Saccharomyces cerevisiae S288C: one gene and its partners. Changing the gene in region 4 together with the main gene of any one other region gives a genetic interaction. Each region holds a gene or a part of one and is shown on either strand. Other genes may lie near its edges. The genes, in order: SLX1, RNH202, MMS4 and RMI1.

Region 1 (3,532 bases), on a different chromosome or scaffold from region 4:
CCCCTGATACCGAGGGACGAGCCGTTGGAGATCTTTATGTTGATGATGGAGAAACTTTTGGCTACCAAAGAGGTGAGTACGTAGAAACTCAGTTCATTTTCGAAAACAATACCTTAAAAAATGTTCGAAGTCATATTCCCGAGAATTTGACAGGCATTCACCACAATACTTTGAGGAATACCAATATTGAAAAAATCATTATCGCAAAGAATAATTTACAACACAACATAACGTTGAAAGACAGTATTAAAGTCAAAAAAAATGGCGAAGAAAGTTCATTGCCGACTAGATCGTCATATGAGAATGATAATAAGATCACCATTCTTAACCTATCGCTTGACATAACTGAAGATTGGGAAGTTATTTTTTGAGGGAAAAAAACGAAGTGATATCTTTACATCTTTTTAGCTCTTTCTTACAAAGTAAACGTAAAAATATCCGTAAATATAACATATAACCATTATCTATAGAAAAAAAAGAACCGAAAATTGTGTCAGGCCCTACTTCCCGTGAGCTAACTTCATTCTTGTCGAAAACTTGACTAGGGTCGTCCAGTCGCAAAACATATCACATTTCGGACATTTCCCACCTCGAGGTATCAAATTTCTTCTCCCTACCATCAACTGTTCATCATCTAGAAAGTACCTGTGAAGACATTTCAAGTGGTTAACACACCCACAGTCTTTATTATTGCAAAGCGCTACAAACGGCTTCAGATTTTGCTCTTCAGACGTGTAGTCAATTTCTTTCTCACAAATTTCACATCGCACTACCCCTGTAGTTAGTTTCTTTTCGAAAGTTTCGAATATGTTTCTTTCATTTTCAATGACTTTAGTGTATACAGCTTCCACCACTTTTAAATTCTCATCACTATGATCCATGAGAACATCCACAGTTTTCTCCTTTGGTTCTTCAAGCGCATTTTCATTTATTTGTATATTAATCGGAAATCTGTCTCTTTCAATAAAAAATTTGTCCTGTTTCCAAACCTCCCAAGCCTTTATATTAAAAACCTCGACTATCAAGTTCATCCTTTGAAAAAATTCATGCTTTAAAAGTAACTTCATTAATGCAACTTTGTGATGTAAAGTTCTTCCACCTGCTTTATGCTTTACAACACGATCTTTTTCGGCAATATAATGCGTTTGGTACCCATGTTGCCATGCATGTTCAAACTGTAAAGCTGCTATCTTACTTGGGAAGCCCCGCACAATCATTATCATTTCCCAGGGCCTTGAACCGTCACGTTTGGTTCGATATGCCCCTCCAACAGCCAATTTCCCATTATGCTGCCTCAAACGTCGTACTGGGTTAGGAGTTGATCCAACGTAAAATGATTGCCTCTTGTTAATCGATTGTAGTAGATAACAACAATAAAAATCAGGAAACTGATGCTGCTGTATTTTCTGCGACATGGTACCTTTCTTATCTTTTTAATATTTTTTGAAAAAAGAGAACATTAATTTGACAATATTTTTTCGATGATAGAAGGGAATAAGTCATCAGTGGTATATATTAAAATTAAAAAGAAAAGCAAACGGCTCATCAAACAAAACCATAGAAGACAAGGCACTCTAATTACATTTCACACTCATGTTGAAATCTGCAAGCCAAAACTTTTTTAGAGCTTATTCTAGTAGAATTGGTCGATATGCTGCTACAGCATCAGGGAAACTGGCACAGTCTCGTTTATCGAATATACCCACTCCAAAAGCATTGAAGAAATTCCTCGATGAGTACATTGTTGGTCAAGAGATTGGTAAGAAGGTTTTAAGCGTGGCAGTTTATAATCACTATTTAAGAATCAATGACAAGCAAAAGAAAGGGGAATTACAAAGGCAGAGAGAATTGATGGAACGAGAGAAAATCGCGGATGATAGGGATGAACCAATTTTCAGTGGAAACAGCGAATCAAAGGCTGGTTGGAGGAATCTTCAAAGACAGTTTAATTTAGCAGGTAGAGAGGTTGACGAAGATTTAGAGTTAAGCAAAAGTAATGTCCTTGTCGTTGGTCCCTCAGGTTCTGGTAAGACTTTGTTGGCAACAACATTGGCGAAAATATTAAACGTTCCAATTGCAATTACAGATTGTACACAATTGACTCAAGCAGGTTACATAGGTGAAGATGTTGAAGTATGCATTGAAAGATTGCTCGTAAATGCTGAATTTGATGTTGCGAGAGCAGAAAAAGGTATTATTGTTCTTGATGAGATTGATAAACTAGCCAAGCCTGCCGCAAGCATTGGCACTAAAGACGTGTCCGGAGAAGGGGTTCAACAGTCATTATTGAAAATCATTGAGGGCCATAAAGTGGAAATTACCGTTAAAAGGCCTGTTAAGCATGATATTGACGGACAAAAAAATCAAACTACAACAAAGAAGGACGAAGTATTTGTTGTAGACACTTCAAATATTCTTTTCATGATTATGGGAGCTTTTGTTGGTTTAGATAAGCATATTGTTAAAAGGATAGAAGATATGAAGAAAATACAGAAGGCAGGAGAGTCTGTTGAATCATCGAATAGTAAAGAAGTTGAAAAAGAAAGAGCGAAGAAGTTCAGATTTAGCAATACGCTTGAGCAGGTTGAATTAGATAACGGAAAAAAAGTGTGTGCTTTAGACTTGACCACCCCCACAGATTTAGTTAGCTTTGGTCTAATTCCTGAATTAATTGGCAGAGTCCCAATTATAACTGCTCTGCAGCCTCTACAAAGAGACGATTTATTTCATATATTAAAAGAACCTAAAAATGCCTTATTGGATCAATATGAATATATTTTTAAGCAATTTGGGGTAAGATTGTGTGTTACACAAAAGGCGCTAAAGAAAGTTGCTCAATTTGCTCTCAAGGAAGGAACTGGCGCCAGAGGGTTGAGAGGGATAATGGAAAGACTTCTGCTAAACGTTAATTATGATTGCCCGGGTTCTAACATAGCATACGTTTTAATCGACGAAGCTACTGTCGACTCGTTACAGGAAACAGAGCACTCTTTGGCTTCCCAAGTGGACGTAAAATACTATTCTGGTGATGAAAAGGACAGTTTAATTCGTGACGTTTCTGAAGAAGATAAAAAATTAGGAGTTATGCTAGAAAAAGAGTTGGGTCATTCTGCTAACATTCATACCCCAACAATTCCCAAGAGAAGCTTAACATAAAAAAAAATGAATGGTATAGAATATATAAATATAGATGTAATAAATGTAGTAAATGAACAAATAATCTTCCTACAAAGTACTATGCCATGGGAAGTAAAAAAAATTAATAAATATTGGCTAAAGTGTTTCAAATTGGTTCTACGATACTGGGAGACTACTCCTTATCATAATGCTTTTTGTCCAGTAGTAAAAATTGAAGTAATTCTTGAACAATTTAAAAAAAAATTGGAACGGCGGCACAATTATTTGGTATATGGCAGCTTTGGCTTTTGCGCCACCACATACAAAGTTCTAAAGCAGCCAGCGTTGTCATCGATTTTTCCTATGTGTTCTTCCACATATCTTTTGAAAAGAGTGGTGGGGTCGGTATCCTTTG
Region 2 (3,736 bases), on a different chromosome or scaffold from region 4:
ATATGATTTTCTTTGACTCTCAATGAGTTCTCTTATGACTATTTAGGGGCTAAATTATTTGTTATGGCAATATTATTAGGTAGGAAAGATACGACTTTACTGAAATTGTTGGAAATACAAAAAGGAGCAGATCATTCCACATAATGATATCATTATTCCCTCTTTCATTTAAAAAATCACCGTTTTTATTTTATTAATTATCAGTCTCTGCATTTTCAGATTCTGTTAAATTTGATAAATGTTTTTCGCCGTTTATAAAGTATTTTTGCATCATGTATGATAATGTATTAGTAATATGAAAACTGGTGTTATTAATAATCAGTGGTCAGGATGTAGTATTAGTTTGGAATAAAAGCAAATCTCCTCATGCTATATAAGAGGAATATAGAAAATACAGGCCAGTTGTTCTTATTAAACATGAACATAATAGTGGGTCTAGCAGTTACTATACATTTAAATTGGCGACTACTATTATTCGTACATTCGACTATAGCAGTATTTCCAATTAATGGATCTTTAACTCAGCTATTATACTGTTTGAGTTCCTCGTTTAACATTTCCCTGTCCAACAGGGACTTAAAAGTATGTAGGGTTTGCATTAATATACAGTAGAGACACTTAAATTGTTACTATAGTAACTCAAGTTACTATTCGTGAGAATATTGACTTATTATTCTTCATGAATAGTCGATTAGTAATCAAATGAAGTAATCAGATGTGCAATGCGTCTTTAATGTTTCAGACTGGAGAATGATACGTAGCTACATAATAATCTGGGTACAGTAAACTCAATGATCTATTACCTGAATGATTAATCTGATGCTTGCAATATAACAATTCATCTCGTGACATTAACCATAAGAATTACTCTCATCATTGCTATATCGGCAAGGTTTAATATGTCCAGTCGGAGTGTATTTTATATCTCTTTCTTTTAGAATAAGAATATCTGCTTTTATTCTTAATCAATACTACAACCTAACTACTAACTATCAACACTGTTAATTACGATTCGCTCCAACAAATTTGGTTTTGTGGATTCTTAAATTCTCGAGAAAAACTTCTAATATATCTTGTATACCAGATACTGTAGCCTTTAGCAACGATAGAATACGAACAGTTCTCTTAAAATTCGCCTATTTCTCATACCGTTGCAGATATAACTAAAGTATTGACATTCAGTGACATCTGGCGCTGATATCATTATTTAACACACGTATGTTTGCGTGGCATTGTCATTTTTAAGAGCAGAGAAAGAAACAATGAGCTACTTGAGTGTGACAAGTTGAAAAGTCCACCAATTTCACGTTGAATTAGGATTCATATATGAAATTCTAGTCATTAATTAGAATTGTAAGTTTCTGAGCTTTTTTTTCCTAGTAAATTAAACTTGTCTAATACATCCAGTTGTGATGTATTCTATATCTCAGTTCTACAGTAGCACGAAGTTTCCCGGCCTCTCTATTCAATAAATTCAGCTATCGCTGATTATCAACAGCAGCAACGAATAAAGCATAAAAGAACAGAAAAATTCTTCTACAAATTTATTCTGTAAAGATTCAGCTTCTTTCGTGAATTTCTAAGTTCATGAGGGGAATTTAAGTATGGCGTTTCTTCGTAGCGCCATTGTCTTGAGCCAAAATGGAACTCTAAAAATTTTCACGACATTTTACTAGTCAGTAAAGTGAGCATATACATATAAGAAGAAATTTCAAAAGGTAAAAAATGGAGCAACTTCCAGCTCATTATCTTTTCAATGTTGTCGATGCCATAGTTGGATTATGAAATCTCATATTCATAACCACAACGCGTTTTTTTCCTTTTAAGGCACTACAGACTCCATTCTCACAAGTTTGTCAAAAGCACGAGCGCGATGAGAATTAAAGTCAGATCTGGTTAATGATTCTGGTACAACAGCAGAAACAAATCGAGTACAAATTTAATCTTATTCTGTCGCAATAGTTGACTTTCTTTTCTGGCCTCTCGAACAAAAAGCATGACCGTTTCCAACATTGGGGGGGAAGAACGACTAATAATTTTACCAGACGATTATGAAACTTCGAAAACTATAAACACTTTTACACTGCCGCCACCTTCCAATATTACATCCAAACCTCGTATCGAGCTCTTCGAAAATATTAATGGAAAACTTTACGAAATAAGATCTTTTCAATTCGGCAAAGGGCCCTCGTATTCACATGAGGAAGATTTGGCAAATGATAAATATCACTATACTAAGGAAAATCACCCGATCAAATCAACTTTCATTGTAAATACGTCTGATCCCACCGATGGTTATGTTTTTAACTCAAGCAAAATACACTTTTGTTCTTTATACGATATTGCTTTTAGTTTGATTGGATTTTACTATAGAAACAGTGTTTCAGCAGATGAACAAGATTACTCCAATTCAAGTGATACTGGTGAAAACCAAAAAAGCAACAGCAAAACCAATGAGAAATTTCTTACGGTGCGTGATTACCATGATTTCTTAACGGATAACCATGACAAGAATTGGGAAAACATTTCTTTAAGTCGTCTCAAGAGTGGCTTAGCAAAAGTTAGTGAAACCATTGAGGAAGCTGGTGACGTCTATTACAAGATCACATCTGCAATGATAACACAATTTTTGTTAGGCAAGGTATCAAAAATTGTAGAAAACTTTCCTCCAAGTATCCCTACACTTAAAAATGCCCCAACGGAAATAAAACAGTGCTACAAGGTAGTTATGGCTACAAATCTTTTAGTTTCCCTGATTCCAAGGGCGGCCTACCATAATTTACTTACCTTTTCACCTACAATGGATAGTGGTTGCCTAAATCCGGATATAAAAGCTAGCTTCATAGAACTCGAAAACTACGAGACTACGAACGAATTACAGAATGCTGAAAGAGAATTACTGATGAAAAGTGCCATGAATGTAGGCCTAAATTCGAATGGCAGGGTTTCATTGCCAGTGAAAAAAGTTACCAAAAAAATAGTTCAAAATAAAAAACCAAAAGTAGCCATAGGAAAAGGGGCCATTGATGGATTTTTTAAACGTAAGTAGCTAGTATCATAATTAAACAGCAATTTGAATGCTATAACTCGGTGGTGATGACCTCAGTGCGAGATAATTACACAATATTGTCACTACCAACGAATGGGCTACCTTTTTTTTCCTTTCTCGAATTCAAGAAAAAATTAACAACTTTTCCCTCGATGATGTTAACAAATGTCTGAATATAAAGGAATAGGAAACGGTTGCTAGATTGTATTTACCTTACCAACTTTCAAGTTTTTTTTCTAACTTCCTAACTTTCAGTCTCGATACATTAATCAACAGGACGTAGTGATTGCAAAATTGTTCAGAATATACATTAGATTAAAAGACAAATGGCCAAAGACATTGAGATATCCGCATCCGAGTCAAAATTTATCTTAGAAGCACTGAGACAGAATTATAGGTTGGACGGCCGCTCCTTTGATCAATTTCGTGACGTGGAAATAACGTTTGGTAAAGAATTTGGTGATGTTAGCGTAAAAATGGGCAACACCAAAGTTCACTGCAGGATTAGTTGTCAAATAGCACAACCATACGAAGACAGGCCATTTGAAGGATTATTTGTAATATCTACAGAAATATCTCCTATGGCTGGTTCTCAATTTGAAAATGGAAATATCACGGGGGAAGATGAAGTTTTATGTTCAAGAATAATTGAAAAATCTGTTAGGCGGTCGGGCGCATTGGACGTGG
Region 3 (4,807 bases), on a different chromosome or scaffold from region 4:
ATAGCAATAAGCTAAATATTAACGGTAGCAAACAGCTATCTACCGTCATGGACATAAATGGATCACTAATATTCAAAAATAAGTCCATTGCCACTACTACTTCTAATTTGAAGAACGTTTTTGTTCAGTTAGAACCAACGTCCTATCACATGCATTCTCCAAATCATGGCTTGAAAGATAATGCAAATGTTAAACCAGAAAGGAAGGTAGTCGTCAGCAACAGCTATGAAGGCGACGTTGAAAGCATAGAAAAATTCCTATCGACTTTCAAAATTTTACCTCCTCTGAGAGATTATAAGGAGTTTGGGCCTATTCAAGAGATTGTACGGAGTCCAAACATGGGTAATTTGAGGGGCAAGTTGATAGCTACTTTGATGGAAAACGAACCCAATTCTATTACGTCTTCTGCTGTTTCTCCAGGAGAAACACCCTATTTAATAACAGGTTCAGATCAAGGTGTAATCAAGATTTGGAACCTGAAAGAGATTATCGTGGGCGAGGTTTACTCTTCTTCTTTAACTTATGACTGCTCCTCTACCGTAACTCAGATAACCATGATTCCTAACTTTGACGCGTTTGCCGTTTCCAGTAAAGATGGACAAATAATTGTATTAAAGGTTAATCATTACCAACAAGAAAGTGAAGTCAAATTTTTGAATTGCGAATGCATCAGGAAAATTAACTTGAAGAATTTTGGTAAAAATGAATACGCAGTGAGAATGAGAGCATTTGTGAATGAGGAAAAATCTCTACTAGTAGCATTGACGAATTTGTCAAGGGTTATTATATTTGATATTAGAACCCTGGAGAGGTTACAAATTATAGAGAATTCTCCAAGGCATGGTGCCGTTTCAAGCATCTGTATCGATGAAGAGTGTTGTGTCCTAATTTTGGGGACGACTAGAGGTATTATTGATATATGGGATATCCGTTTCAACGTGCTGATAAGGAGTTGGTCCTTTGGGGACCACGCACCAATCACGCATGTGGAGGTTTGTCAGTTTTATGGAAAGAATTCTGTAATTGTTGTAGGAGGTAGTTCAAAAACATTTCTAACAATATGGAATTTTGTTAAGGGGCATTGTCAGTATGCTTTCATAAATTCTGATGAACAGCCATCTATGGAGCACTTTTTACCAATTGAGAAAGGCTTAGAAGAATTAAATTTTTGTGGAATCAGGTCTTTAAACGCACTAAGCACTATCTCAGTATCTAATGATAAAATTCTTCTTACCGATGAAGCAACAAGTTCCATTGTTATGTTTAGCCTAAATGAGCTTTCTTCTTCTAAAGCAGTAATAAGTCCTTCAAGATTCAGTGACGTTTTTATTCCTACACAAGTTACGGCAAATCTCACAATGTTATTGAGAAAAATGAAACGTACTAGCACTCATTCAGTAGATGATTCTCTATATCATCATGATATTATAAATTCTATATCTACATGTGAAGTTGATGAGACACCTTTGCTGGTTGCTTGTGATAACTCAGGGCTTATTGGAATCTTCCAATAATTTTTTTTATTTTATTCAGCTTCTTTATTCTAAATGCGTATAAATTTGTATTCACCTTAAACATTTTCGATCATTTAGGAAAGGGCTTGCAACGCGTTGAAGTACCCTTTTCACGAAAAAAATGGTTGTATACGTAAATAAAGAACAATGTATGGATTATGGTATAGAATAATAGTAGTCACATATTGCAGCTAGTTAAATGAGCCAGATCGTTGATTTTGTTGAGGACAAAGATTCAAGAAACGATGCCAGTATTCAGATCATCGATGGACCCTCAAATGTTGAAATTATCGCTCTCTCGGAATCAATGGATCAAGATGAGTGCAAAAGGGCACATGTAAGCTCTGCAGAGATGATTCCATCATCACCGCAAAGAAAATCTGTTTCGAATGATGTTGAGAATGTTGACCTAAACAAATCTATCGAACTTTCTGCGCCGTTCTTCCAAGATATCAGTATAAGCAAGCTAGATGACTTTTCTACAACAGTAAATTCCATCATAGATTCGTCTCTCAGAAATGAGAATAATGCAAAAGGAAACGCGAAAAAACTTTTGGATGATCTAATAAGTGATGAATGGTCAGCTGATCTTGAGTCGAGTGGAAAGAAGCACAACAAATCACAATACAATTTGAGGGACATCGCAGAGAAATGGGGAGTACAGTCTTTAAAAAATCCAGAGCCTATTGCTGTTGACTGCGAATATAAGACACAAGGAATCGGAAAAACCAATAGTGACATTAGTGATAGTCCGAAATCACAGATAGGAGCAGCTGATATACTGTTCGATTTTCCACTGTCTCCAGTAAAACATGAGAACCCAACTGAAGAAAAGCACAATTCGATTGCTAATGAAAATTCTTCACCAGATAATAGCCTGAAACCAGCAGGAAAACAAAATCATGGTGAAGATGGGACATCCATGGCAAAAAGGGTATACAATAAAGGTGAAGACGAGCAAGAACACCTTCCGAAAGGAAAGAAGAGAACCATAGCGTTATCAAGAACACTAATCAACAGCACCAAACTACCTGATACAGTAGAACTAAATCTTTCTAAATTTCTCGATTCCTCAGATAGTATTACTACTGATGTACTTTCAACCCCTGCAAAGGGGTCTAACATAGTAAGGACAGGTAGTCAACCAATCTTTAGCAACGCTAATTGTTTTCAGGAAGCAAAACGCTCGAAAACATTAACGGCTGAGGATCCCAAATGTACTAAAAATACTGCCAGAGAGGTATCACAACTAGAGAATTATATTGCCTATGGGCAATACTATACTAGAGAAGACTCAAAAAACAAAATACGACACTTGTTAAAAGAAAACAAAAATGCTTTTAAGCGAGTTAACCAGATATATCGAGATAATATAAAAGCACGCTCTCAAATGATTATAGAGTTTTCGCCTAGCCTTCTCCAGTTATTTAAAAAAGGAGACAGTGATCTGCAACAACAATTGGCACCAGCAGTTGTGCAATCAAGCTATAACGATTCTATGCCGCTTTTAAGATTTCTTCGAAAATGTGACAGTATTTACGACTTTAGTAACGATTTCTATTACCCCTGTGATCCCAAAATAGTTGAAGAAAACGTTTTGATTCTATATTATGATGCGCAAGAATTTTTTGAACAATACACTTCACAAAAGAAAGAATTATATAGGAAGATACGATTTTTCTCAAAGAATGGAAAACATGTGATTCTTATACTAAGCGATATAAATAAACTCAAAAGAGCTATTTTCCAATTAGAAAATGAAAAGTACAAAGCTAGGGTAGAACAACGATTGTCAGGAACAGAAGAAGCTTTAAGACCGAGAAGTAAAAAATCAAGCCAAGTTGGAAAATTAGGGATAAAAAAATTTGATTTAGAGCAACGATTGCGCTTCATTGATAGAGAATGGCATGTCAAAATACATACTGTAAATTCACATATGGAGTTTATTAATTCTCTGCCGAACCTAGTGTCATTAATTGGAAAACAGCGCATGGATCCCGCAATTCGGTATATGAAATATGCTCATTTGAATGTAAAATCCGCTCAGGATAGTACAGAAACGCTAAAGAAAACCTTTCATCAGATAGGGAGAATGCCTGAAATGAAGGCGAATAATGTCGTGAGCCTATACCCCAGTTTTCAATCATTACTTGAAGATATTGAAAAGGGAAGACTGCAATCAGACAACGAAGGTAAATACTTGATGACTGAGGCAGTAGAAAAAAGATTGTACAAACTGTTTACTTGTACTGATCCAAATGATACTATTGAATGATGATCGAACGAAACTTTGTATATAAGAACATACCTTAAGGCAGTCGTTTTGAAAATCACTGCAGCTCTATTTCCCCCTCCTTACCTTTTTAATGAATTCCATTTTACAGAAAGTACTATTGATAAATATTCGTAATAAAATAAAACAGTGTTAATAATAAATGTTCGAGATTCCGGTTAAAGATAATATGAAATGGTGAATGTAATATCATTTTATTTCTACGGACGTAATCATAATACATACTTTACGGCTAAATAATCGTCTTCATTAAGTCTGTCCTTTAGAGGCTCGATATGTTTGTAACCTTCGTTCAATTTGTGCAATTCCTGTTCATTAAATTTTATTCCGGAAGATATCAGGTGAGAGAGAAAAGACAGAACTCTATCTATGATGTTCAAGTTACTCTCGTCAGACAAGCACTCAATCGTACTTTCAATTACTCCATCCTTTCTCAGCACACTGATTATATTTTCATCAATCTTAACAGATGACAAATATGCGGTCAATAAGGCAATGGCTCTCATTTTCAGTTTTGGTTTGGCGGTGTTATCACTTAATACAGGTGCTATGCAGTCGAGCCCATTTAATTTGAAAAACTTTTCTGAGATATCTTTGTGGTTTCTTATTAGATTAGATAGTGCGTAAAAAGCTTTTGTTCTCACGTCGAGTGGCTTTGTCTTGTCACTAGCTATTTCGATAAGGCTTCGCAGACCATTGTCGTATTTCATGAAATTATTTTGCGAATCCAAGTTGTTTTGCACAGCCGTTCCAATAATGGATAAAGCAGCAGCACGTAGTTCTTCATCCTTCGTCTGAACAAGAACATCCAACAATGGCTCCCACAGTTTTAAATTTTCGATATTATTAGCATTATCTAAGTTCTCAATCAACATTTCAAAGTTGTCAAATGCAACGAGTTTTGTTTCTAAGTCAACCTCCGGATTCATAATAACAGCCATGGATTCTTTCATTAAGGTTGGATCGTCAGGACCACCACCACCGAATAACTGCTGTAGCA
Region 4 (3,472 bases):
CGATGACAGTGATCTAATGCGGAGCAAAGCTGCAGAAAAACTTTCTTAATCAAAATACCATGATTTACAAAATGCTTATCGTCAACTATCGAGGTGAAAAGGTCCCTGTCGTAATAATCCATCACTATAAAAGTGGCAATAGAAGATTCTAAAACTTGGTGAATCTTCACGATATTGCCGTGAGACTGCACTCTTAGTTGGAAGGCAATCTCCCTGTAGTGTGGTAGCCTATTTAGTTCATTCTCAGTCAACTGTAATATCGAGTCTAGATCAACGGAAGGTAAGAACAATTTTTTTTGGAAACTTTTGAAAAAATGATACAGTTGCGTTTGCAGAAGAGTGGTTCGCGCCACTTGAGAGTTGTTGTTCAAACCGTTCTTATTATAAAACTCATCCATCGAGGAGGATTTGAAGACCGTTTTCACTGCATATTCACGGCTCGTCAGTATATCCACCACATGGAACACTAGTCCATACGCACCCGACCCTATTTGAGCCGTTATTCTGAAATTGTTCAGCAAGCAGTCTGACAGCATTTGTACACAAAATTTCTTGTCTGTGTTCTTATTTGATGTTTTCTTTTAAAGAGTTTTGTTTCCGCTAGGGCGATTTAAGTCAATAAGTAAATTTAACAATTTACTAAATATATTTTGTATAATATATAAGAATATACGCCTTAAGAATGTCCTCTCATGCGAAAAAGGTAGCAAGAGCATAAAAAGGAAAAAGAAAACGCTATAGTCATTTGTAGGCTCTTGTCTTTCTTCGTCTTCGTCCCGTGAGTGCGGACTCAGAAAACACCGCAATGATGTGGGTCCGGAATATCTATTGCACAGTTTTAGTAGGGTCACCGATATCGTTAAGGTTTGTGGTAGGAACAGAAGGTACTGCCGGCCCTGTATACTGCCCTTTTGTTCCGACCATTTCTTTTTTGCATTTGTCCCAAGATTCTCTCTCCCCACAAAATCTGCTCAAGTATCTGTCCAACGCGCTTTCTTCGGCTGATAGATAAGTTCCGATTTCGTGGGAAGCAAAAAAAAAAAAAAAAAGAAAAAAAGAGTCTGTCCGAGAAATGTCCCGGAAAACGTGGGTGTGCGGTGAGGAGATTGTACTTCCATCCCACATTCCTCGTGTTTGATTGGCTGCAAGCCACTTGATGCCTAGAAAAGAAACACCGCGTGGTGCATCTATGTCCATATCACGCGCGCTAAAACAGCATGTAGAGAGCGCGAGGGCGGCGTACTGCACCATTCTAATAGGAAATCCGGGATGAATGCCCTCTCCGGAAATACCTCCACTAAGCCTCAATGGAAAGTTGTTCCGCTCACGCGAACAGGTTTTTCCGGGGAGTCGAGAACTACAGTGACGTAAATACGACGACATCGCTAGAGCCAGCAGAAGCCTCCATACATTCAGACTAATTAGTTGACGGGCTTGAGCCAACTAGACATATTATGTAGGCACATATGCTCCAACCAATACATATGTGTACATAGAGTACAGCTCTTCCCAGCGCATCCGCTATCGTCCTCTTGACAGGTCCGGCTATTTATTATCCGCGGCATCCGCGGCCCAGCGCACAATAATAGATTACTTTGCAATGCAAGCGGTCTTGGCTGTTTGCTCTGAGGGTCCATCTTCGTTTATTTCTTTATTTACTAAATTAATTATGATACTGCACTCAGGACGGGCCAAGAAAGCATGTAGCGTGAAGAGAAACTAATTATTAAGAAAAAAGAAAAAAAAAAAAAAAAAAAAAAAGAAAAGGAAAAAGGAAAAAGATAAACCAATCATACAATCTTTACAGAAAGGGAGTACTGAGAAGAAGGCCAAAATACTGCAGAGCATACATACTACCGAGTGGATGGAATGTCTTTTTCATCTATCTTATCACAGGATATCACAGATGACATTACACCACCAGCGTATTCCGCCACCTTGGGGTCGAGAGAACAGATTGTTTTCAGAGCTTACCAAAATGAACCTTGGTTGGCTGGTACTGCTTCGAATCTTATCTTAGATAAAAAACTTGTTATTGTAGACAGAGAACTGTTGTTCCAGGTGTTGATGGTAGAGAATATCACCAAATCCAAGCTAACACAGATCGATGATATAAAAACCAAGCTGGATCCGAAAAAACAGAAAGTGGATAGACTACGATCAGGCGCGCAAGGAAATGGCGCTAAGAAGTACGAGGTCATCACTCAAGTGGACATGGAAGATGACGGGAATGTGGCGGATAACAACTGCGCCAAGGAAAATAATAGCAACAATAATAGCAGTGCCGCCAAGAATAAAGCAGTGTTTAAATTGACACTACAAAGTAAGTCGGGCGACGTTTTTTTTGCTATCAACTCGACTCCAATATCTTGGAGCTCTTGCATGCTGGGTTCTAAAATTGTGATACTGCCGGGAACTGTGTTCAATAGGGGCGTTTTCATATTGAAGGACTCACAAGTCATTTTTCTCGGCGGCATTAATAGAGTTTGGAATGAAAATAGAGATCAGAAATTTTGTGATTATTTGGAATCTAAATTACAACGTGACAAACAACTTGTAAATGGCGGCTCCAAGAAAAGGAAAGCCAATGATTAGCATATGCCTCTTCTTCTTAGAAGGGCGTTCTGCCCGTTATGTATACGTTAAATATTACATTATTTTCGCATTTTTGTATTTATATTCAGTGAAATATTAGGCTTGGTCGAGTAACATTTCCCATAGCTCGTCGGTTTCTTTGAAGTCGTGATGAACAATTGAGACAAGACAGTAGTCTTTATGCACTAGTCTTAGAAGAATATTGGCTGGGGTGTTCCTTGGAAATAACTTGGCCCACTCGGACCAGATACTAAACGCTTCATCTCTCCATGCCTTGAATGACTCTTCTTCAATGATTGTAGTCTGTTTGACCGGACTGTTGGGAAAAACACCCCATGTTACAACGCTAGAGCTGTGCGGGTCTAGGTTCGTTTCAAATGAACCAGATGAATCGCCCGCGTAATAACTGAATTTCCGACGCCCGTAATGGTCTAGCTTGGGTTTCAAAGTTGTTTCCCATTGCTGTCTATGAATAAACATTTCTACGAATGCCTTCTGATACAACCTCCCTTTCGCGGGCCCCCAGCCGAATATTTTATCACTACTCAATGTAGCATTTGTGGCAGGTTGCGATGCCAAAGTCAAATATCCGCGATAGTTTAGTTGGATTAGTTCTTCTTGTATTAACGCCGTTTCAGCTGATAAACCCAGGTCAGACCAGGGAATCGCATCCGTTGAACCTTCCAAATATTTTATAAAAATATCTTTTAAATCGCCAATTGTCTTTGGTATACCCCATAGTTCAAGCGCTTTGCTTTTGCTTACCTTGATGGATGGCCCATAACCGTCTATTTCACCATATGCGGGAGACCTGGAGTCACCAAATCTACCATTGGGGAACTCATCCCAAGTGGCATCACGACCCAAAGTTCCGTGA

What was found.
Region 1: mutations in RMI1 (region 4) and SLX1 are lethal when combined (synthetic lethality), as found in Saccharomyces cerevisiae (4 studies listed by BioGRID, with this or other methods).
Region 2: mutations in RMI1 (region 4) and RNH202 together harm fitness more than expected from each alone (negative genetic interaction), as found in Saccharomyces cerevisiae (4 studies listed by BioGRID, with this or other methods).
Region 3: mutations in RMI1 (region 4) and MMS4 are lethal when combined (synthetic lethality), as found in Saccharomyces cerevisiae (7 studies listed by BioGRID, with this or other methods).

What each region holds. Positions count from the first base shown.
Region 1 is NC_001134.8:673,196-676,727, reverse strand, and holds SLX1 (endonuclease), read right to left. Parts: upstream 1,416-3,532; coding exon 501-1,415; downstream 1-500. Other genes in the region: glucan 1,3-alpha-glucosidase ROT2, read left to right, coding at 1-371; MCX1 (Mcx1p), read left to right, coding at 1,594-3,156; YBR225W (uncharacterized protein), read right to left, coding at 3,399-3,532. UniProt on the Saccharomyces cerevisiae protein: Catalytic subunit of the SLX1-SLX4 structure-specific endonuclease that resolves DNA secondary structures generated during DNA repair and recombination.
Region 2 is NC_001136.10:1,017,372-1,021,107, forward strand, and holds RNH202 (Rnh202p), read left to right. Parts: upstream 1-1,996; coding exon 1,997-3,049; downstream 3,050-3,736. Other genes in the region: exosome non-catalytic core subunit RRP45, read left to right, coding at 3,376-3,736. UniProt on the Saccharomyces cerevisiae protein: Non catalytic subunit of RNase H2, an endonuclease that specifically degrades the RNA of RNA:DNA hybrids. Participates in DNA replication, possibly by mediating the removal of lagging-strand Okazaki fragment RNA primers during DNA replication.
Region 3 is NC_001134.8:439,802-444,608, forward strand, and holds MMS4 (Mms4p), read left to right. Parts: upstream 1-1,713; coding exon 1,714-3,789; downstream 3,790-4,807. Other genes in the region: ubiquitin-binding serine/threonine protein kinase VPS15, read left to right, coding at 1-1,514; Hsp70 nucleotide exchange factor FES1, read right to left, coding at 4,020-4,807. UniProt on the Saccharomyces cerevisiae protein: Interacts with MUS81 to form a DNA structure-specific endonuclease with substrate preference for branched DNA structures with a 5'-end at the branch nick.
Region 4 is NC_001148.4:501,648-505,119, forward strand, and holds RMI1 (Rmi1p), read left to right. Parts: upstream 1-1,869; coding exon 1,870-2,595; downstream 2,596-3,472. Other genes in the region: putative serine/threonine protein kinase SKS1, read right to left, coding at 1-536; methylenetetrahydrofolate reductase (NAD(P)H) MET12, read right to left, coding at 2,692-3,472. UniProt on the Saccharomyces cerevisiae protein: Structure-specific DNA-binding protein with a preference for cruciform structures. Also binds single-stranded DNA (ssDNA). Functions together with SGS1 and TOP3 to maintain genome integrity. Essential for proper meiotic cell division.